2 linked regions of the Anolis sagrei genome follow. The protein of the gene in region 2 interacts with the protein of the main gene of each other region in a biochemical or structural test. Links are inferred from orthologs where the notes say so. Each region holds a gene or a part of one and is shown on either strand. Other genes may lie near its edges.

Region 1 (12,002 bases), on a different chromosome or scaffold from region 2:
CTTTGGACCGGATGAGGCAGCAATGTAGATCCATCCCCAGAGGGACCCTCCTCGCCTCCCCTCCCCACTGACCCCCCACGGACGCTCTACAATGATTATCATTATTACTAACTTATTGATATCCTGCCTTTCTCCCCACAAGTTTTTTGTTTTTTTTTGGATAGGAGTGTGAGAGAATTGGCTGTCTGGGGACGTTGCCTGGAATTGGCCATCTGCAAAGACGTTGCCCAGGGGACGTTGCCCAGAATTGGCTGTCTGCAAGGACGTTGCCTAGGGGATGTTGCCCAAAATTGGCCGTCTGCAAGGATATTGTCTGCAAGGATGTTGTCCATGGAATGTTGCCTGGAATTGGCCATCTGCAAGGATGTTGCCCAGAACTGGCTGTCTGCAAGGATGTTGCCCAGGGGATGTTGCCCAGAATTGGCCGTCTGCAAGGATGTTGCCCAGGGGATGTTGCCCAGAATTGGCCATCTGTAAGGATGTTGCCCAGGGGACGTTGCCCAGAATTGGCCGTCTGCAAGGACATTGCCCAGGGGACGTTGCCCAGAATTGGCTGTCTGCAAGGACGTTGCCCAGGAGACATTGCCCAGAATTGGCCGTCTGCAAGGATGTTGTCCATGGAATGTTGCCCGGAATTGGCCATCTGCAAGGATGTTGCCCAGAATTGGCTGTCTGCAAGGATGTTGCCCAGGGGATGTTGACCAGAATTGGCCGTCTGCAAGGACGTTGCCCAGGGGACGTTGCCCAGAATTGGCTATCTGCAAGGACGTTTCCCAGGGGATGTTGCCCGGAATTGGCAGTCTGCAAGGATGTTGCCCAGGGGATGTTGCCCAGAATTGGCCGTCTGCAAGGACGTTGCCCATCTTATGGTCACCTAAAACATCTCAAGATATCTCCAACTTATGGTCATTTAAAACATCTCAAGGTATCTCCATCTTATGGTCATCTAAAACATCTCAAGGTATCTCCATCTTATGGCCATCTAAAACATCTCAAGATATCTCCAACTTATGGCCATCTAAAACATCTCAAGGTATCTCCAACTTATGGTCATCTAAAACATCTCAAGGTATCTCCATCTTATGGTCATCTAAAACATCTCAAGGTATCTCCATCTTATGGCCATCTAAAACATCTCAAGATATCTCCAACTTATGGCCATCTAAAACATCTCAAGGTATCTCCAACTTATGGTCATCTAAAACATCTCAAGGTATCTCCATCTTATGGTCATCTAAAACATCTCAAGGTATCTCCAACTTATGGCCATCTTCTCAAGGTATCTCCAACTTATGGCCATAGAATCAAAGAGTTGGAAGAGACCTCATGGGCCATCCAGTCCAACCCCCTGCCAAGAAGCAGGAATATTGCATTCAAATCACCCCTGACAGATGGCCATCTAAACTTATGGCCATCCAAAACATCTCAAGGTATTTCCAACTTATGGTCATCTAAAACATCTCAAGGTATCTCCATCTTATGGTCATCTAAAACAGCTCAAGGTATCTCCATCTTATGGTCATCTAAAACATCTCAAGATATCTCCAACTTATGGCAATCTAAAACATCTCAAGATATCTCAAACTTATGGCCATTTAAAACATCTCAAGATATTTCCATCTTATGGTCCTCTAAAACATCTCAAGGTATCTCCAACTTATGACCATCTCATAGAATCCTAGAGTTGGAAAAGACCTGGTGGGCCATCATCCAGTCCAACCTCATTCTGCCAAGAAGCAAGACAATCGCACTCAAGGCACCCCCCCCCCGACAGATGGCCACCCAGCCTCTCTATCAAAGACTCCATTGAAGGAGCCTCCACCACACTCCAAGGCAGAGAGTTCCACTGCTGAACAGCTCTCTCATACAGTCGGGAAGTTCTTCCTAATGTTACTGTTATGATTGTTTATTCTTTTGGGGTTCCCCTCAATGCCATATTTTCTTTCCTACCTCATCCAGGGTTTTATCATTTTACTTCGTCCCTTTGGCCTGCCCATTCTGTTCAATTTTATATTGTGTTAATTTGTTTTATTTATCCTATTTTGCTACTGTACGTATTTTATTTTGATGTAATTTTTTGTTGTCTGCATTCTATATCTTATTTTGTAGTTTTGCTATTTTTGCGCTTGGCCTCATATTAGCCGTCCCGAGTCCCCTTTGGGGAAATGGTGGCGGGGTATAAATAAAGATTATTATTATTATTATTATTATTATTAGAAACACAACAGGATGAGTCCACAGCAGACAAGGTCACTCTGCTGCCTGTTGTATTGGATCACACGTTGGACACTTCCCAAGTGTGTAGGACTATTATTGTTGTTGTTATTATTATTATTATTATTATTATTATTACTGTGTTGATGATTATTATTATTAAGTGTCTAGGATTATTATGATTATGATTACTATTATTGTTAGCCACCACGAGTTGGAAGATGGTGGCAGGGTATAAATAAAGATTATTATTATTATTATTATTATTATTATTATTATTATTATTTGAAACACAATAAGATGAGTCCACTGCTGACAAGATCACTGCTGGCTGTTGTATTGGGTCACATGTCAGACATCTCCCAAGTGTCTAGGATTATTATTATTATTATGTGTCTAAGATTATTATTATTGTTGTTGTTGTTGTTAGCCGCCCCAAGTCGGGAGATGGTGGCGTGGTTTAAATAAAGATTATTATTATTATTATTATTATTAGAAACGCTGTAAGATGAGTCCACAGCAGACAAGATCACTCTGTTGGCTGTTGTGTTGGATGACACGTTGGACACTTCCCAAGTGTCTAGGACTATTACTATTATTATTATTGTTATTATTATCATGATGATGATTATTATTATTATTAAGTGTCTAGGATTATTATTATTATTATGTGTCTAAGATTATTATTATTGTTGTTGTTGTTGTTAGCCGCCCCAAGTCGGGAGATGGTGGCGTGGTTTAAATAAAGATTATTATTATTATTATTATTATTAGAAACGCTGTAAGATGAGTCCACAGCAGACAAGATCACTCTGTTGGCTGTTGTGTTGGATGACACGTTGGACACTTCCCAAGTGTCTAGGACTATTACTATTATTATTATTGTTATTATTATCATGATGATGATTATTATTATTATTAAGTGTCTAGGATTATTATTATTATTATGTGTCTAAGATTATTATTATTGTTGTTGTTGTTGTTAGCCGCCCCAAGTCGGGAGATGGTGGCGTGGTTTAAATAAAGATTATTATTATTATTATTATTATTAGAAACGCTGTAAGATGAGTCCACAGCAGACAAGATCACTCTGTTGGCTGTTGTGTTGGATGACACGTTGGACACTTCCCAAGTGTCTAGGACTATTACTATTATTATTATTGTTATTATTATCATGATGATGATTATTATTATTATTAAGTGTCTAGGATTATTATTATTGTGATGATGATGATGATTATTAAGTTTCTAGGAGTATTATTATTATTGTTGTGATGATTATTCATCATCATCATCATCATCATCATCATATTTAATAACTTATTAATCGCCCTCCATCCGAGAATGCTGTAGGCAATTTACATTATTAATTGTCTAGGACTACTACTACTACTATTATTGTGATGATTATTATTAAGTGTCTAAGACTATTATTATTATTATTATTGTCTAGGACTACTATTATTGTTATTATTATTATTATTAAGTATCTAGGACTATTATTGTTATTACTATGTGTCTAAGACTATTATTAGTATTAAGTGTCTAAGATTATTATTATTGTCTAAGACTGTTATTATTATTATTATTATTATTATTAAGTATATAGGACTATTATTATTATTATTAAGTGTCTAGGAGTACTATTATTATTATTACTATTGTGATGATGATGATGATTAAGTGTCTAGGACTATTATTATTGTGATTATTATTATTAAGTGTCTAGAATTATTATTATTATTATTATTATTATTATTATTGTGATTATTACTATTATTGTTAGCCGCCCTGAGTCGGGAGATAGTGACGGAGTATAAATAAAGACTATTACTATTATTATTATTTGAAGCACTACAAGATGAGTCCACACGTCGGACATCTCCCAAGTGTCTAAGATTATAATTATAATTACTGTGATGATGATGATGATGATGATGATTATTATTAAGTGTCTAGGACTACTACTACTATTATTATTATTATTATTATTGTGATGATGATGATGATTATTATTATTATTCCGTGTCTAGGACTATTGTTATTATTATTATTGCCAACCCCTCTGGAGAGAGGGCCAGCCCCATTTGAAAGGTCCCAGAAGGAGGCCTGTCTCCATGCTGGATTGGGAGAGCACCCCCCCCCCAGGGCCCTGTTTAACCCGTCCCGGTAGAGGGCCAGTAGCTCTGCCTCTTTCCCTCCTCCTCCCTCCCTCCCTTGTGCCATGGCGGGACCCGTCCCGACCCCTCCCGACAGAGGTCCCCCCCCCCCCCCCCCCCGAGGCCCATGGAGCTGACTGTCTGACTGACCCTTGGTTGAGGTCATTCTCATGGTTATGGGAGAGAGAGAGCGCCCCCTGAAGATGATGATTATTATTGTGATTATGATTATTATTATTAAGTGTCTAGGAATGTTATTATTATTATTAAAATTATTATCATTGTGATGATGATGATTCAGTGTCTAGGATTATTATTATTACTATTGTGATGATGATGATGATTAAGTGTCTAAGACTTATTATTATTATTATTAAATGTCTAAGACTATTATTAGTATTATTAAATGTCTAAGACTATTATTATTATTATTGTCTAAGACTATTATTATTATTAAGTGTCTAAGACTTATTATTATTATTATTAAGTGTCTAAGACTATTATTATTATTATTAAGTGTCTAAGACTTATTATTATTAAATGTCTAAGACTTATTATTATTATTAAGTGTCTAAGACTTATTATTATTATTGTCTAAGACTATTATTAGTATTATTAAGTGTCTAAGACATTATTATTATTATTAAGTATCTAAGACTTATTATTATTATTAAGTGTCTAAGACTTATTATTATTATTAAGTGTCTAAGACTATTATTATTATTATTAAGTGTCTAAGACTTATTATTATTAAATGTCTAAGACTTATTATTATTATTAAGTGTCTAAGACTTACTATTATTATTGTCTAAGACTATTATTAGTATTATTGTGTCTAAGACTTATTATTATTAAGTGTGTAAGACTTATTATTATTATTATTATTATTATTAAGTGTCTAAGACTATTATTGGTATTATTAAGTGTCTAGGACTACTATTACTATTATTATTGTGATGATGACTATTATTAAGTATCTAAGACTATTGTTGTTGTTGTTGTTGTGATGATGAGGAGCCAACCCTTCCGGAGAGAGGGCCAGCAGCCCCCTTTGAAAGGTCCCAGAAGGAGGCCTGTCTCCATGCTGGATTGGGAGAGCACCCCACCCCCCACGGGCCCCGTTTAACCCCTCCCTGCAGAGGGCCAGCAGGCCTGCCTCTTTCCCTCCTCCCTCCCTGCCATGGCGGGACCCGTCCCAACCCCTCCGGAGAGAGGTCCATCCGGATGCCCATCAGACTGACCCTTGGTTGAGGTCATTCTCGGTGTTGTCCAGCCAGAGCCGCACGGCCACGGCGTTGCCCTCCCGGCACTGCGCGAAGATGTCGTCCATGGCCGGACTGCAAGGAAGGGAGGAAGGCAGGCAGGCAGGCAGGAAGGCTCCTCCTCAGCTCTCCCTCCTTCGTGGCTGTGGCTGTGCGTGGGTCTCCCACCCGGGGCGGCGCCCACTCCCTCCTGGCCGGACAAGGGACTGCAAGGGCGGAGCCCACACTAGCATCACTACCACCACAAGGCCGCACCGAGGGAGGGAGCCTCCAGGGGGCGCTCTCTCTCTCTCTGTCTCCCTCTCTATCGCCGGAACTGACTTCCTTCCTACTACCACAAGGCAGCACGGAGGGAGGGAGGGAGGGAGCCAGCCTCCAGGGGCGCTCTCTCCTTCTCCCTCTCTATCGCCGGAACTTACTTCCTTCCTACTACCACAAGGCAGCCGAGAGGGAGGGAGCCTCCAGGGGGCGCTCTCTCTCTCTCTCTGTCTCCCTCTCTATCGCCGGAACTTCCTTCCTTCCTACTACCACAAGGCAGCACGGAGGGAGGGAGGGGGCCTCCAGGGGGCGCTCTCTCCTTCTCCCTCTCTATCGCCGGAACTTCCTTCCTTTCTTACTTCCTTCCTTCCGGTCCGCAGCGTGCCACTTCCGGGCTTCCCTCCTTCCTGCCTGGCTCCACCGCCGCCGGGAGGAAGATGTTCGAGGAGGGCGAGTGGGACGAGGGCGGGACCTCGGTGGGGACGACGGCGCCCTGGGGGACAACCAAGAGGGCGGGCAAGGTGAGGAGAAGGGGTGGCTGGGGGTCCTCTTGGGCTAAGGCCTGGGCCTAAGAATCCTACCATCCTCGAGTTGGCTACCATCCAGGGCAGTCACGTTCAAAACACCCCCAACAGATGGCCATCCAGCCTCTGGTTTGGGCCTTAGAATCCTACAATCCTCCAGTTGGCTACCATCCAGGGCAGTCACGTTCAAAACACCCCCAACAGATGGCCATCCAGCCTCGGCTTCAAAGCCTCCAGAGAAGGAAGGAGCCTCCACCACACTCCAGGGCAGAGAGTTCCAACACTGAACAGCTCTCAGAGTCAGGAAGTTCTTCCTCATGTTGTAACTATTATTATTATTGTGATGATGAGCCAACCCCTCCAAACACATGGCCATCGAGCCTCTGCTTCAAAGCCTCCAAAGAAGGAAGGAGCCTCCACCACACTCCACGGCAGAGAGTTCCACTGCTGAACAGCTCTCACAGTCAGGAAGTTCTTCCTAATGTTGTTACAGGGCCTTTTCTGTGGTGGCCCCCCAACTCTGGAACACCCTCCCCAAAGATCTTAGACAGGCCCCTCCATTGGCAATCTTCAGAAAGAACTTGAAGACCTGGCTGTTCCGATGTGCCTTCCCAGAATAGGAATCTCCAATACCAAGTCCCAGAAGCACTTTAGTAGAACTAAGATCGCTGCACACCGCACACTGCACTTGCCCTATAATCCTACATACCTCCTGCCACATCAGCACTTTTAATCTTGTACCCATGACTCTGGCCCGGCCCAGTTTTATAGTGTCTTGATGTATTGTTTATTGCTTGTTGTTTATTCTACTTAACTGGTTTTTAATTTGCTTTAGGTATTGTATTGCTGTATGGTGTTTTGAGGCCTTGGCCTGTGTAAGCTGCATCGAGCCCTTCGGGAGATGCTAGCAGGGGACAAATAAAGTTATTATTATTATTATTATTATTATTATTATTGTGATGATGAGCCAACCCCTCCAATTATTATTATTGTTGTGATGATGAGCCACAGATGGTCATCCAGCACTATTATTATTGTTGTTGTGATGAAGAGCCAACCCCTCCAAACAGATGGCCATCCAGCCTCTGCTTCAAAGCCTCCAAAGAAGGAAGGAGCCTCCACCACACTCCCTCTGAAGCAAGAGTTCTCACAGGATTCCACCAGAACAGTTAGGAAGTTCTTCCCAATGTTCAGGTGGAATCCCCCTTTCCTGTAGTTATTTGTGTTCTGGCATTGAATGTTTACTATTTTTGATATTTGTTGTGACCTGCCCTGAGTCCCTTTGGGGAGAGAGGGCGATCTATAAAGTAGGGTGTTCCCTCGCTACTTCATGGTTCTCTTTTAGCGGACTCGCTGTTTTGCAGGTTTTTGAAATATATATATATATATAACATAAAATATTTACATCCAGTAGAGGCCAGGGATCCCAGAAGTGCAGCGCAGAAGGCCTGCCTCATAGAATCGTAGAATTGGAAGAGACTGTAGGCCATCCAGTCCAACCCCATTCTGCCAAAAAGCAGGAATATCACATTTAGAGCACCCCCGACAGAAGGACATCCAGCCTCTGTTTAAAAGCATCCAAAGAAGGAGCCTCCACCACACTCTCTCCGGGCCAGAGAGTTCCACTGCTGAACGGCTCTTACAGTCAGGAAGTTCTTCCTCATGTTCAGATGGAATCTCCTTTCTTGTAGTTTGAAGCCATGGCTCCATTGTGTCCTAGTCTCCAGGGCAGCAAAAAGAAAGCATCCTGTTTCCTACCTATGTCTTCCCCTCACATATTTATACTCTTCCAACTCTAGGATTCTATGATTCTAAAGCAGAGTCTTGGGTGACCCTATGTGGCAGGCATGGGGAACCTTCGGCCCTCCAGGTGTGGTGGACTTCAACTCCCACAATTCCTTGAGGCTCGGCATTCGCCCCAAAGGCTTACCGAGCCTCAAGGAATTGTGGGAGTTGAAGTCCACCACACCTGGAGGGCCGAAGGTTCCTGACCCCTGCATGTGGTCTCTTCCAACTCTATGAGTCTATGTTTTGGTTTTTCCTCCCTGCAGGGCCCCCCAGCCCCGAGCGGCTCCCACCAGCGCCTCCGCCTCCTGGCCACGCTTCGTCGCCTGGAAGGCTTGGGGGGCGCCCAGAAGGCCCCGCCTAGCCCCACTTCCTCTGGGTCAGAAGGGGAGGAGGATGAGGAAGGCAGCGGGGAGGAAGAGGAGAAGCCCCAGCGGAAGCGGAGGAAGAGGAAGCCCAGGAGGACACGGCAGCGGGAGGAGCAGCCCTGCCTCCCCTCGGGAGCCGAGAAGAAGGGCGACCACCAGCAGAAGCAGCCGGGCAACAATGGTGGGTGGCAGGGCTGAGGCCCCATTCATTAGTAACATAACACTGTAGCCCAGGCATGAGGCAACTTCCGCCCTCCCTCCAGGAGTTTTGGATTTCAACTCCAAATGTTTGAGGAATTGTGGGACTTGTAGTCCAAAACAACTGGAGGGCCAAAGTATGAGCCAGCACTGCCTACGTATAAGTCTATGGTGGGATAAAGAGGAGAAACGTGTGCAGGAAGACGCCTTGACAAGGTGCAAAGAAAAGGTAAACAATGACTTTGATTCTTGTGCATAATAATTCTCACCTTGAAGGGGACTCAGAGTGGCTTGCAAGATATATTTAAATACAAAATATTATATTATTTGCATAGTACAATAGTATTATATATTACTATATTGCACTATACCATTATATTGTAATATTATTAGTAATATTACATATAATATAAATATATAATTATAATATTGTATTACTAGTATTATAGTATTATATTACAAAACAACACACCCATCCTTCTACACCCCCATCACCCCTGCACAGCCCCCAGTGCTACATCATTGCAAAACCATGGATAGCACTAGGATAAAAGCTGTTTGTCCTTGTCTTTGTCACTGTGTGCCATCTGCCAGGTGGCAATAATTCATAAAAATTCGGTTCATATCTGTGTGCCGGGCATCTTGAGGCAGAGAGGAGCCTCACAGCGCTCCCTTCTCAAACAAAAGGAGCAAGGAAGGCACACTAAAGACTTTTGGGAAGAAGGGAGCTGACCTTTGCAAGTGGGGCAGGAAAGAGAACTGCCTTGAGCTAGACAGTTTGAGGAAGTGGAGCCAAAGTAAGGCAGCAGGCAGGCACTGCAGGGCTCCCTCTGTCCCCAGTTGCTCTCCCTGGAGAGGAGTGTTTATGCACCCAGTGCAGTGAGTGCTTTTCTTCCCAGGTGAGGCAGCGCCTTCGGAGCCCAGAACCGAGCCCTTCACCTGCAGGAAGACCCCTGGCAGCGAGGAGGGGGCCACCAAGGAGGAGCCGAAGGGGCCGCTGCTGAGCAGGAAGCAGTGGAGGAACCGCCAGAAGAACAAGCGTCGGCAGAAGAACAAGTACAAGAGCCCGGGGGACGCATCGGCTGCAGGGGGGGCCCCAGCGGACGTAGCCCAGCCCCCAGACCCAGGAGAGCCCCCTGGCAGCCCGGGAAAGGGGTCAGAAGGGGAGGCCGTGGCGGCGCTCCCAAAGGCCGAAGGGGGGCGGGGGGCGTCCCTGCGGCTGCGCATGGAGGAGCGCCTGGAGGCCGCGCGCTTCCGCTTCCTCAACCAGCAGCTGTACTGCCGGCCCAGCCAGGAAGCGGGGCAGCTCTTCAAGGAGGACCCCCAGGCCTTCGCCATCTACCACCGGGGATTTGCCCGGCAGATGGACCACTGGCCGGAAAAGCCCGTCCAGCGCATTGTGCGCTACCTGCGCCACAGGTGAGAACTCCCCTTCCCCCTTTGCCTGTGCCCCTCGGGGGACACTTGCGGAGTTGATGATGATGATAATAGCCATGTATAAATATGTGAGAGGAAGCCACAGGGAGGAGGAGGGAGCAGGCTTCCTTTCTGCTTCCCTGGAGACTAGGATGCAAGGGAGCAATGGCTTCAAACTACAAGAGAGGAGATTCCATCTGAACATGAGGAAGAACTTCCTGACTGTGAGAGCCGTTCAGCAGTGGAACTCTCTGCCCCGGAGTGTGGTGGAGGCTCCTTCTTTGGAAGCTTTTAAGCAGAGGCTGGATGGCCATCTGTCAGGGGTGATTTGAATGCAATATTCCTGCTTCTTGGCAGAATGGGGTTGGACTGGACGGCCCATGAGGTCTCTTCCAACTCTTTGATTCTAGGATTCTATGATGATTATTATTTGATTACTCCTGTTTCTCCTTATCTCGCTCGAGTTCTGAATCAGTTTTTAATTAGTTTTCTTTTAATCATTACATGTAGCCTGCCCATTGTAATATACAATTGTCATTGTGATTGTGTTTATTGTAATTTTATATTGTTATGTATTCATATGTGTTATGTAATTATGATGCTGTTGTTTATTGTTTGCGTTTTCCGTTTTCTTCTGCTGTAATTTGTTGTCTGGGCTTGGCTTCATGTAAGCCGACCCGAGTCCCCAGCGGGGAGATGGTGGCGGGGTAGAAATAAAGATTATTGTTATTATTATTATTATTATTATTATTATTACTCCAAAGCCAACAAGATCACTTTGCTGGCTTTTGTATATCATCACATGTCAGACACTACCCCAAGTGTCTAGGACTGTGTGATGTGTTGGCAAATAATGTGTACAGATATGAATAGGGTGATTATTATTATTATTATAACTTTATTTGTACCCCGCTAGCATCTCCCAAGGGATTCGATGCGGCTTACAACAGGCCGAAGCCCACACAGATACAACAATACAACAATACAACAGTACCTAGCAAGTAAATAGTTAAGCAAAACAATAACAAAAGTAGTACAACAAGACATTATTAAAACCGGGCCGGCCAGAGTGGGGGTACAGGATTAAAAGTGCTGATGTGTCGGAGGGATATGGGGTTATAGTATAAGTGCAGTGTGCGGTGATCTTGGTTCTGACTAAAGTGCTTCTGGGATTTGGTACTGGGGTTCCTAGTCTGAGAAGGCACATTGGAACAGCCAGATTTTCAAATTCTTTCTGAAGACTGCCAATGTAGGGGCTTGTCTGAGGTCTTTCGGGAGGGCATTCCAGAGGCGGGGGGCCACCACAGAGAAGGCCCTGTCCCGTGTCCCCACCAAACGCGCTTGTGACGCGGGCGGGATCACGAGCAGGGTCTCTCCAGATGATCGGAGTGAACGTTATTATTATTATTATTATTATTATTAATAATAATAATAATAATACTCCACTCTGTCTCTCCTGGAGGAGATGCAAATTGGCATTAAAAGCATGACTGTACAATTTGAAATAAATAACTATAAAAATTAGAAGGATTCCCGTAGAAATGTTACTTTTAATTTAAAAAAGAAGGGGGAAAATATCATTGGCATGCTAGATTATTAATTGCAAAATATTGGAAAGGGGAAATGAAAATACAGATTAGTGAATGGTATAAGGAAGTCTGGAAAATGGTACCAAACGATATGCTAACATGACTGAGGCTGCCGAGGGGGAAAAGGAAGGGGCCTGAGGCTGTTAGGAATGGTGGGAGTTGAAGTCCAAAACCCCTGGAGGGAGGGAGGGAGGGCCCAAGTTGGCCCGTGCCTGAGCTAAATAGAATG
Region 2 (12,041 bases):
CCCTAAGGTCCAGCTCTCACATCCGTAGGTTTTTCTTAGGCAAGGAGTATTGAGAGGGCCTTTTACCAGGTCCTTCGCCTGAAATAAAGTCTACAATGCCTGGGATTCATAGGCAGTCTCCCTTGATGGAGCAATGGGTTAAACCCTCGTGCCGGCAGGACTGCTGACTAAAAGGTCAGCAGTTCAAATCCAGGGAGCAGGGTGAGCTCCAATCTGTCAGCTCTAGCTTGTTTACTGCTTCCATGGAGATTAGGACAAGGAACAGTGGCTTCAAACTGCAAGAAAGGAGATTCCATCTGAACAGGAGGAAGAACTTCCTGTGAGAGCCGTTCAGCAGTGGAACTCTCTGCCCCGGAGTGTGGTGGAGGCTCCTTCTTTGGAAGCTTTTAAACAGAGGCTGGATGGCCATCTGTCAGGGGTGCTTTGAAGGCAATATTACTGCTTCTTGGCAAGGAGCCCATGAGGTCTCTTCCAACTCTTTGATTCTATGATTCCCATGCAGGGACATGAGAGAAGCCTCTCACAGGATGGTAACACATCCGGGTAACGTCCTTGCAGATTGCCAATTCTCTCACAACAGAAGCAACTTGCAGTTTCTCAAGTCCCTCCTGACACAGAAAAAAATTCCAAATATAGCCAAAAGCTGACTCTATGTAGCTTCCAAGATCAGACAGGATCTGGTGCCTTTAGGGTACAATATTTGGCCCCTTTCTTTGTCTTAAGAGTTCCCCTGTTATTTTAAATGCCTAAGCTAACTGTGCAGGAGTTAAGGATCTACAATAATAATAATAATAATAATAATAATAATAATAACACTTTATTTATACCCTGCTACCATCTCCCAAGGGACTCGGTGCGGCTTACATGAGGCGAGCCCACAAAACATCAATACATGCAATAACAACCACAATACAAAGCAAAATACAAACATGAAACATTTCCAAAAGGAACATGGATAATACTACTCAACAGTTAGAGATGTGAAGCACAAGTCGAAAGAAAGAAAGGGAAAGAGAAAGAAGGGTAACACACACGTTCTTCTCCAAGATAATGATGAAAGGGGTGGCCTTCCGACAAGAGCAGCAAACAGAAAACTAGGGCTGCTGAAAACTAAACAGGGCAAACAAACTGAATCCTCAATTTCTGGTGGAACGAATGTAGAAATAGGTGAACTAAAACTGAAAAGAGAGGCCAAGGTGGAAAAAAGAAGCTCCTACAAATGTGCATGTCTGCATATACATGTCTGCACACCCTTAACAGCTTATAATAATTCTGAAGGTAAAGCTGCATTTATTTTCCAAAACATGTATTCAAGCATCAATAGTATCACGATTATTATGATAAGACTCGTGCTGATAAAACTGCAAGAGAAACTTTAAGCGAGCGCGGTTTGACAACGTGAGCGGCACATTGCTGTGCAAGGACAACACCTGACATAAAATGGAATTTGTAAACAATCAAAGTATTATTGTAATGTCTGTTCTTCAACAGACATGCATTTATATAGCTTTCCAATAATCATAATTAATATCAGCTGTTAAAAGCAGACATGGGCCAACTTGGGCCCTCCAGGTGTTTTGGACTTCAACTCCCACAATTCCTAACAGCCTACCAGCAGTTAGGAATTGTAGAAGTTAAAGTCCAAAACACCTGGAGAAAAGGCCCAAGTTGGCCCAGGCCTAATTAAAATCTTCCATATCCCCCAATATATTCCACTAACTATAGGGGGGGGGGCAAGTATGGAGCCCCATCCCCACAAACGGTTCACAGCTCAGAAAGCATAAACACACTGCGCACACTGCACCCATATTCCCTTCATACATCCTGAAGTAAAGGGGGACATAGCTTAAAGGGGGGAGGTTAAAGGTAAAGGTTGTCCCCTGACATTAAGTCCAGTCATGTCTGACTCTGGGGTGTGGTGCTCATCTCCATTTCTAAGCCGAAGAGCCAGCGTTGTCCATAGACACCTCCAAGGTCATGTGGCCGGCATGACTGCATGGAGCGTCGTTACCTTCCCGCCGGAGCAGTACCTACTCACATTTGCATGTTTTCGAACTGCTAGGTTGGCAGAAGCTAGTGCTGACAGTGGACGCTCACGCCGCTCTCCGGAATCGAACCTGCGACCTTTCGGTCAAGAAGCTCAGCAGCTCAGTGCTTTAACCCACTGCGCCACTGGGGGCACCTTAAAGGGGGGAACGGGACCCCAAAAAGCTTTCTCAGATTACAAAGAGTGAAAGCAAGGGGGGGGGGGGAGTCCCAAGATGAAGCTATATATATAATATTCCACAACTTAGGAGAGATAGTAAAGTGAAAGTAAGGGGGGGGGGCACCCTGGCCTAAAATGAGGGAGGGGGATAGTTCATTCCCATATTTATTTATTTACTTTACTTTACTTGTATACCGCAGTTTCTCAGCCCAACAGGCGACTCAACGCAGTTTACAACAAGGATAAAAATCAATCAATGATATACAATTTAAAATCATAAGAGCATAATATACAATATTGACACAACAGTAAACAACACAATGCATCTCATAACTAAAGTCGTGATCCAATTCGTCGTCGATATTCCCCCCACACAATTCCCTAATGTTTGCACATGCATCCCACCGCTTAGAAAGGGATACTCCCCTCATGCATTCTATGGCTGAAGAAAGAGAGACTCCAATCCTCACATACACATCACAGCCTGGAAGGGTGCAAAGTAAATGGGGGGGGGGGGGGTCATTTCATTCCATAGGCTAAAATGGTGGAGACCCCAAATAGGTTTACCAGCTGAGAAAGAGTGAAAGCAAAAGAGAGGGCCCTAAAAGGAATTCCCCCACAAACAATATCCCACAGCTTAGAAGGAGAGAAAATAAAAGGGAAGTGGGGAAAGTAGAGGGGAAACCCCCATATTCATCACATAGAGTTCCCAGCCTAAAATAGTCAATAGCAAAAGTATCTGCTAATAATAATAATACCCGTGTCTCTGAAGCATTTTCTAGGTCCTCCATGACTATTAGTAGTAATAATAATATTAGCTGCCTATCCAAGTCATTTTTAAGATCTTCCATCAATAATAATAATAACAACAGAATAATAATAATAATAATAATAATAATAATAATAATAGAATAATATCTGCCTAACCAATGCATTTTCTATATTCACCATTACAATAATTGATAATGATGATAATAATAAACTTAAGAAAGGGGCAGGGGCTTCCATATTGTCTTCATACATTCCATATCTTAAAAGGGGAGAAAACCCCAAATAGGTTTCCCATCTTAGAGTGAAAGCAAAAAGAGAGGGTCCTAAAATGAATTGGAGGGAGAGAAAGTAAAGGGAAATTAGTTTGGGTTGTTGTGGATTTTTTGGGCTCTATGGCCATGTCTATGGCATTCTCTTCTGACGTTTCGCCTACATCTATGGCAAGAGCTTGTGAGGAGAGGGTCCTGAAATGAATCCCCTCAGAAACAATATTCCACCGTTTAGAAAGAAAGAAAATAAAGGTAAATTAGTTTGGGTTGTTGTAGGTTTTTTGGGCTATATGGACACGTCCTAGAAGCATTCTCTCCTGACGTTTCGCCTACATCTATGGCAAGAGTGAAAGTCAAAGTAGAGGGTCCTAAAATGAACTGGAAGGAGAGAAAGTAAAGGGAAATTAGTTTGGGTTGTTGTAAGTTTTTGGGGCTATATGGCCACCTCCTAGAAGCATTCTCTTCTGACGTTTTGCCTACATCTATGGCAAGTGGTTGTGAGGAGAGGGTCCTGAAATGAATCCTCCCACAAATAATACTCCACAGTTTAGAAGGAGAGAAAATAAAGGGAAATTAGTTTGGGTTGTTGTAGGTTTTTTGGGCTATATGGCCACATTCTAGAAGCATTCTCTCCTGACGTTTCGCCTGCATCTTATGGCAAGAGGTTGTGAGGAAATTAAGTTTTCCCAGCAGAGGAAGAGTGAAAGCAAAGGAGAGGTTCCTAAAATAAATCCCCCACAAATAATATTCCACAGTTTAGAAGGAGAGAAAGTGAAGGGAAATTAGTTTGGGTTGTTGTAGGTTTTTTGGGCTATATGGCCACATTCTAGAAGCATTCTCTCCTGACATTTCGCCTATATCTATGGCAAGAGGTTGTGAGGACATTACATTTTCAAAGTAGAGGGCCCTAAAATGAATTGGAAGGAGAGAAAGTACAGGGAAATTAGCTTGGGTTGTTGTAGGTTTTTTGGGTTGTATGGCCACGTTCTAGAAGCATTCTCTCCTGACGTTTCGCCTACATCTATGGCAAGATGTTAAATCCCCCACAAATAATATTACAAAGTTTAGAAGGCGAGAAAGTAAAGGGGAATTAGTTTGGGTTGTTGTAGGTTTTTTGGGCTATATATGGCCATGCCCTAGAAGCATTCTCTCCTGACGTTTCGCCTATATCTATGGCAAGAGGTTGTGAGGAAATTAAGTTTTCCCAGCAGAGGAAGAAGAGTGAAAGCAATGGAGAGGGTCCTAAAATAAATCCCCCACAAATAACATCCCACAGTTTAGAAGGAGAAAAAGTAAAGGGAAATTAGTTTGGCCACGTTCTAGAAGCATTCTCTCCTGACATTTCGCCTACATGTATGGCAAGAGGTTGTGAGGAGAGGGTCCAGAAATGAATCCCCTCAGAAACAATATTCCACAGTTTAGAAGGAAGGAAATTAAAATAAAAGTGGGGAAAACAATGGAGGAGAAAAAAAACCTATATTCTTCACATACAATTCCCAACCTAGCAAGGTCAATAACAAACATATCCCACTCATTAAAGGGGTGGGGGAGGCTTCCATATTGTCCATATCATAAAAGGGGGGGAAGACCCCAAATAGGTTTCCCATCTTAGAGGGTCCTAAAATGAATTGGAAGGAGAGAAAGGAAAGGGAAAGCAAATAGAGAGTGAAAGCAAAAGGAGAGGGTCCCAAAATGAATTGGAAGAAGGAGAGAAAGTCAAAGGAGGAGCAAAAGGAGGAGTGTATTCCTCTCATTGAGTCCATAGCAGGCCTGGCCCAACTTGGGCCTTCCCTCCAGGGGGTTTGGACTCCAACTCCCACAATTCCTAACAGCCTATCGGCTGTTAGGAATTGTGGGAGTTGGAGTCCAAACCCCCTGGAGGGAAGGCCCAAGTTGGGCCAGGCCTGGAAGGCCTTCAACTCCACACTAGGCCTCATTCCCCTCAGACACACAAACACACAAATCTATCTCCCTCTCCCGCTGTATTACCTCTTCTCGCTTCTCCCTCCAAGCGCTGAATGGAAGGAGAAGCAGGAGAAGAAGAAGGCGGGACCCTCCTCCCTCCCTCCCTTTCTTTCTTTCCTTCTTTCCCTCCCCTTCTCCTCCTCCTTCTTCTCCTCCCCCTTTCCCTCCTCTCCGCCTGAAAGGGAGGGAGGGAGGGAACATCCGGGTCTCCGCGCCTTTCCTCAGAGGGGAGGGGGAGGAGGAGGAGGAAAGAAAGGAAGGAAGGAAGAAAGGGCGGGAAAACTTCCCTGAGGGGAACACAAGCTTGCCCAGTCTCTGCTCTTAAGATAGATGGATAGGTAGATGGATGGATGGATAGATAGATAGATAGATAGATAGATAGATAGATAGATAGATAGGTAGGTAGGTAGGTAGGTAGGTAGGTAGATAGATAGATGCATGAATAGATGGATAGGTAGGTAGGTAGGTGGGTGGGTGGGTGGGTGGATGGATGGATGGATAGATAGATGAATGGATAGATAGATAGATAGATAGATAGATAGATAGGTAGATGGATAGATAGATAGATGGATGGATGGATGGATGGATGGATAGGTAGGTAGATAGATAGATAGATGGATAGGTAGATGGATGGATAGATAGATAGATGGATGGATAGATGGATCAATCGATAGATAGATGGATGGATGGATAGGTAGATAGATGGATAGATAGATGGATGGATGGGTAGATAGATAGATAGATAGATAGATAGATAGATAGATGGATGGATGGATGGATGGATGGATAGGTAGATGGATGGATCGATAGATGGATGGATGGATAGGTAGATAGATATGTAGGTAGGTAGATAGATAGATGGATAGGTAGATAGATGGATGGATGGATGGATAGGTAGATGGATGGATCTTACTTTACTTACTTACTTAGGCGATCCCTCGTTGGACGACTAAGATGGTCTTCCATTATGGATTTCCCTGTGGGTCCGTATGTGGCTGTGGAGCCCTATTCTTGCTCTGCATCTTCTTCCGCAGTGAGGGCATTGGTTTCCAGGTGGAAGGTGGTCCCGGTCGGGGTTGGCTTGACGCGCCTTCCTCCTGGCACGTTTCTCTCTTTCGCCCTCCACTCGTGCCTCCTCAAATTCTGCAGCACTGCTGGTCACAGCTGACCTCCAGCTGGAGCGCTCAAGGGCCAGGGCTTCCCAGTTCTCAGCGTCTATGCCAGAGTTTTTAAGGTTGGGTTTGAGCCCATCTTTCAATCTCTTTTCCTGCCCAACAACATTCCATTTTCCTTTCTTGAGTTCAGAGTAGAGCAACTGCTTTGGGAGACGGTAGTCAGGCATCCGGACAACGTGGCCGGCCCAGCGGAGTTGATGTTGGAGGACCATCGCTTCAATGCTGGTGGTCTTTGCTTCTTCCAGCACGCTGACGTTTGTCCGCTTGTCTTCCCAGGAGATTTGCAGGATTTTCCGGAGGCAGCGCTGATGGAAACGTTCCAGGAGCTGCATGTGACGTCTGTAGACAGTCCACGTCTCACAGGCATAGAGCAGGGTTGGGAGGACAATAGCTTTATAGACAAGCACCTTGGTATCCCTATGGATGTCCCGGTCCTCAAACACTCTCTGCTTCATTCTGGAAAATGCTGCACTTGCAGAGCTCAGGCGGTGTTGTATTTCGGCGTCGATGTTGACTGGTGGAGAGGTGACTGCCAAGGTAGCGGAAATGGTCAACATTTTCTAATGTTACACCATTAAGCTGTATCACTGGCATTGGAGAGGGATTGGCTGGTGACTGCTGGAACAGCACTTTGGTTTTCTCAATGTTCAGCGACAGGCCGAGCTTCTCGTATGCATCTGCGAAGGTGTTTAGAGTGGCTTGTAGATCTTCTTCTGAATGCGCACAGACGACATTGTCATCAGCATACTGGAGTTCTATAACAGCTGTTGTTGTAACCTTGGTTTTGGCTTTCAGTCTGCTGAGGTTGAATAGCTTGCCATCTGTCCGATAGATTATTTCCACTCCGGTGGGAAGCTTCCCATCAACAAGGTGAAGTATCATAGCAATGAAGATGGAGAATAGAGTTGGGGCAATAACACATCCCTGTTTGACACCGGATTCCACTTTAAATGGGTCACTTTGGGAGCCATTGCTGTCCAAGACTGTTGCCATCATGTCATCATGGAGGAGCCGCAGGATGTTCACAAATTTGCTTGGGCACCCGATTTTTTGGAGGATGGTCCAGAGAGCGCTGCGATTCACTGTGTCGAATGCCTTGGCAAGGTCGATGAATGCCATGTACAGAGGTTGGTTTTGTTCTCTGCATTTTTCTTGGAGCTGTCGTGCAGTGAAGATCATATCCACGGTTCCTCTGGAGGGGCGGAAGCCATTCTGAGATTCTGGGAGGGTGTCTTCTGAGAGGGGCAGAAGGCGGTTTGCAAGGATTCTTGCGAGGATTTTCCCAGCGGAGGTTAGAAGGGAGATACCTCGATAGTTTCCACAGTCTGTTCTTTCCCCCTTTTTGAAGATAGATAGATAGGTAGATAGATGCATAGGTAGATAGAAAGATGGATAGGTAGATAGATAGATAAGATAAGATAGATAGATAGATAGATAGATAGATAAGATAGATGGATGGATAGATAGATAAGATAGATAGATAAGATGGATGGATGGATAGATAGATAAGATAGATAAGATGGATGGATGGATGGATAGATAGATAAGATAGATAGATAAGATAGATGGATGGATGGATAGATAGATAAGATAGATAGATAAGATGGATGGATGGATAGATAGATAGATAGGGTAGATAAATAGATGTAGAGATAGATAGATAGATAGATAGATATCTGTGTAGAAGGGGCCTAGAATGGAGAGATAGATAGATGCGGTAGATAGAGAGATAGATAGATAGATGTGTGGAAGATATCCATCCATCCAGATATCCATCCATCACAGATATCCATCCATCCATCTACCGTATCTCTCTCTACATCTATTTATCTATCTACCTACCTACCATATCTATCTATCCATCCATCGATCTATCTACTGTATCTATCTCTACATCTACCTACCTACCTCCCGTATCTATCTATCCATCCATCCATCCATCCATCCATCCATCTATCCTAGGCTCCTTCCACACAGATATCTATCTATCTATTGTAAGGGGCCTAGGATGGATAGATAGATGGAGAGATAGATAGATAGATAGATAGATAGATAGATAGATAGATAGATAGATGTGTGGAAAGAGCCTAGGATAGATGGATGGATAGATAGATACGGTAGGCAGGTAGATAGATAAATAGATGTCGAGATAAATAGATGGATAGATAGATATCTGTGTAGAAGGGGCCTAGAATGGAGAGATAGATAGACGCGGTAGATAGAGAGATAGATAGATAGATAGATGTGTGGAAAGAGCCTAGGATAGATGGATGGATAGATAGATCTGGTAGGCAGGTAGATAGATAAATAGATGTAGAGATAGTTAGATACGGTAGATGGATGGATGGATGGATGGATAGATAGATACGGTAGGTAGGTAGATAGATAAATAGATGTAGAGATAGATACGGTACATGGATGGATGGATAGATAGATATCTGTGTAGAAGTAGCCTAAGATAGATGGGTGGATAGATAGATACGGTAGGCAGGTAGATAGATAAATAGATGTAGAGGTAGATGGATGGGTGGATAGATAGATAGATAGATAGATAGATAGATAGATAGATAGATAGATAGATAGATATCTGTGTGGAAGGGGCCTAGGATGGATAGATAGATGAAGAGATAGATAGACGTGGTAGATATAGAGATAGTTAGATAGATAGATAGATAGATAGATAGATAGATAGATAGATAGATAGATAGATGGATGTGTGGAAAGAGCCTAGGATAGATGGATGGATAGATACGGTAGGTAGGTAGGTAGATGTAGAGATATATACAGTAGATAGATAGATGGATAGATAGATATCTGTGTGGAAGGAGCCTAGGATAGATGGATGGATGGATAGATAGATAGATAGATAGAGTAGGTAGGTAGGTAGGTAGGTAGATAAATAGATGTAGAGATAGATACAGTAGATTGATGGATAGATAGATATCTGTGTGGAAGGAGCCTAGGATAGATAGATAGATACGGTAGCTAGGTAGGTAGGTAGGTAGATAGATAGATAGATAGATAGATAGATAGATAGATAGATAGATAGATAAATAGCTGGCTGTGCAGAAGAGGCCCAGGATAGATAGATAGATGAATGAATGTGCGGAAGGGGCCTAGCATTGATTGACTGATTGATTGATGGCTTTGTGGAAGGGGCCTAGCATAGATAGAAAGATGGCTAGATAGCTGTGTGGAAGGGGCCTAGCATGGATAGATAGCACCCTCCGCTGTACAAGTAAAACCACTCAACAAGTCCTACCACTTTTATATAGGCACACACACACGCACACAACAAAGAAATAATAAGGAAACAAAGGGTCGCTGGGGAGCTTGCTTTGTCCTCCGTTTTCCTCTCGCCTCAGAAGAGTTGGTGTTTCCTTTTTAATTTATAGCTCAGCTTTTATTAGCCTGTATTATTTATTTAGGGCCATCCATCTATATGTTAAACAATCAAATCCGGTGTTCTTTCATGTGATAATAGCAGGGTTTAAATTTTAATTTATAGCCCGGTCTATATTATGATTTCTAGCATTATTGCATTTTTTAATTTGTTGCCATCAATGTATATGGCATTGTACAAGTAAAACAACCAAACGCAGTGGACTCTGCCAAAGACATACCTTCTAAATTATATGTGCGTGTATCTATTATACATATATATATATACACACACACACAGAGGAAGAAAAAAGCCAATGGGATTTTGGCCTGCATCAATAGGAGCATAGTGTCTAGATCTAGGGAAGTAATGCTACCCCCTCTATTCTGCCTTGGTTAGACCACATTATCTGGAATATTGTGTCCAGTTCTGGGCACCACAATTCAAGAGAGATATCGACAAGCTGGAATGTGTCCAGAGGAGAGCGACTAAAATGATCAAGGGTCTGGAGAACAAGCCCTATGAGGAGCGGCTTAACGAGCTGGGCATGTTTAGCCTGAAGAAGAGAAGGCTGAGAGGGGATATGATAGCCATGTATAAATATGTGAGAGGAAGCCACAGGGAGGAGGGAGCAAGCTTGTTTTCTGCTTCCTTGGAGACTAGGACGCAATGGAACAATGGCTTCAAACTACAAGAGAGGAGATTCCATCTGAACATGAGGAAGAACTTCCTGACTGTGAGAGCCGTTCAGCAGTGGAACTCTCTGCCCCGGAGTGTGGTGGAGGCTCCTTCTTTGGAAGCTTTTAAGCAGAGGCTGGATGGCCATTTGTCAGGGGTGATTTGAATGCAACATTCCTGCTTCTTGGCAGAATGGGGTTGGACTGGATGGCCCAGGAGGTCTCTTCCAACTCTTTGATTCTATGATTCTAAGAATAATAAGTGATCAAGGGGCCCATGAAGGGATTGCCTTGTCCTTCGGTTTCCTTGTGCTTTAGAATATACTAGCCATCCCCTGCCACGCATTGCTGTGGCCCAGTCTGGTGATCTGGAAAATAAAGTAATGGTTTCTAATATTTGTAATCCCTTTATGCTTGTGGGTAAACAGTATTCCTTGTTGTTTCTATGCCAATGTTGATGTGGTGATTGTCTAGTTTGCCTACTATGGAACATGCGACATATAATTGTCCTTCTTTAGGGGTCCCTTTCAAATCTATGATACTATATCTCTCTGTGTGTGAATCATATCTATCTATCTATCTATCTATCTATCTATCTATCTATCTATATCTATGGCTGGATGGCTCTTTGTCAGGAGGACTTTGATTACGTTTTCTTGCCCTGATGAAGGGAGTTGGATTGGATGGTCTTAAGTACTTTCTGATGGTCATGGGGGTTTAGTGTGGGAAGTTTGCCCCAATTCTGTCGTTCGTGGGGTTCAGAATGCTCTTTGGTGAACTGTGAATCCCAGTGACTACAACTCCCAAATGTCAAGGTCTATTTCCCCCAAACTCCATCTGTGTTCATATTTGGGCATATTGAGTGCTTGTGCCAACTTTGATCCAGATCCATCATTGTTTGAGTCCACAGTGCTCTCTGGATGTAGGTGAACTACAACTCCCAAACTCAATGTCAATACCCACCAAACCCTTCTAGTGTTGTCTGTTAGTCATGGGAATTCTGGTGCCAATTTTGGTTCAATTCCCTCGTTGGTGGAGTTCAGAATGCTCTTTGATTGTAGGTGAACTATAAATCCCAGCAACTACAACTCCCAAATGACAAATTCATACTTTTTGAGTGATGGTCACTCCTTGTGTTGTGAGACATTTTGTTGCCAAATTTGGTGTGATTTCGTTCATTGGTTCTTTTGTTTTTAAGGAACTCATTATGCACAGAGCATTTAGATATAGATGAAGTTTAAAAAATTTAATATATAGCCCAACTTTAATTATTTTATAATGTTATTTTTGTTATTATTTTTATGCTTAGTATCATCGGTGGCACAATGGGTTAAACCCTTGTGCGGGCAGGACTGAAGACCAACAGGTCACAGATTCAAATCTGGGAAGAGAGTGAATGAGCTCCCTCTGTCAGCTACAGCTCCCCACATGGGGACATGAGAGAAGCCTCCCACAAAAGTGGTAAAACATCAAAACATCCGGGCATCCCCTGGGCAAGTAAAACAACCAAAAGCAATGGTCCTACCTGGAAATTATGTGAAATTATTGATGGCGGTGTTGTTGCATGTTATACCTATCTCTCCTCGTTATGAAACA

The links.
Region 1: the proteins of FERMT2 (region 2) and ILK form a complex in vitro, tested with the Homo sapiens proteins (2 studies listed by BioGRID). The link is inferred for Anolis sagrei from reciprocal best matches to the Homo sapiens genes FERMT2 and ILK.

Annotation. Positions count from the first base shown.
Region 1 is NC_090023.1:1,047,591-1,059,592, forward strand, and holds the start of ILK (integrin-linked protein kinase), read right to left. Parts: upstream 5,704-12,002; coding exon 5,615-5,703; intron 4,545-5,614; exon of another isoform or gene 4,524-4,544; intron 1-4,523. Other genes in the region: RRP8 (ribosomal RNA-processing protein 8), read left to right, coding at 6,331-6,414, 8,469-8,751, 9,668-10,187. UniProt on the Homo sapiens protein: Scaffold protein which mediates protein-protein interactions during a range of cellular events including focal adhesion assembly, cell adhesion and cell migration.
Region 2 is NC_090021.1:339,283,260-339,295,300, forward strand, and holds the start of FERMT2 (fermitin family homolog 2), read right to left. Parts: upstream 5,306-12,041; 5' UTR 5,236-5,305; intron 1-5,235. UniProt on the Homo sapiens protein: Scaffolding protein that enhances integrin activation mediated by TLN1 and/or TLN2, but activates integrins only weakly by itself. Binds to membranes enriched in phosphoinositides.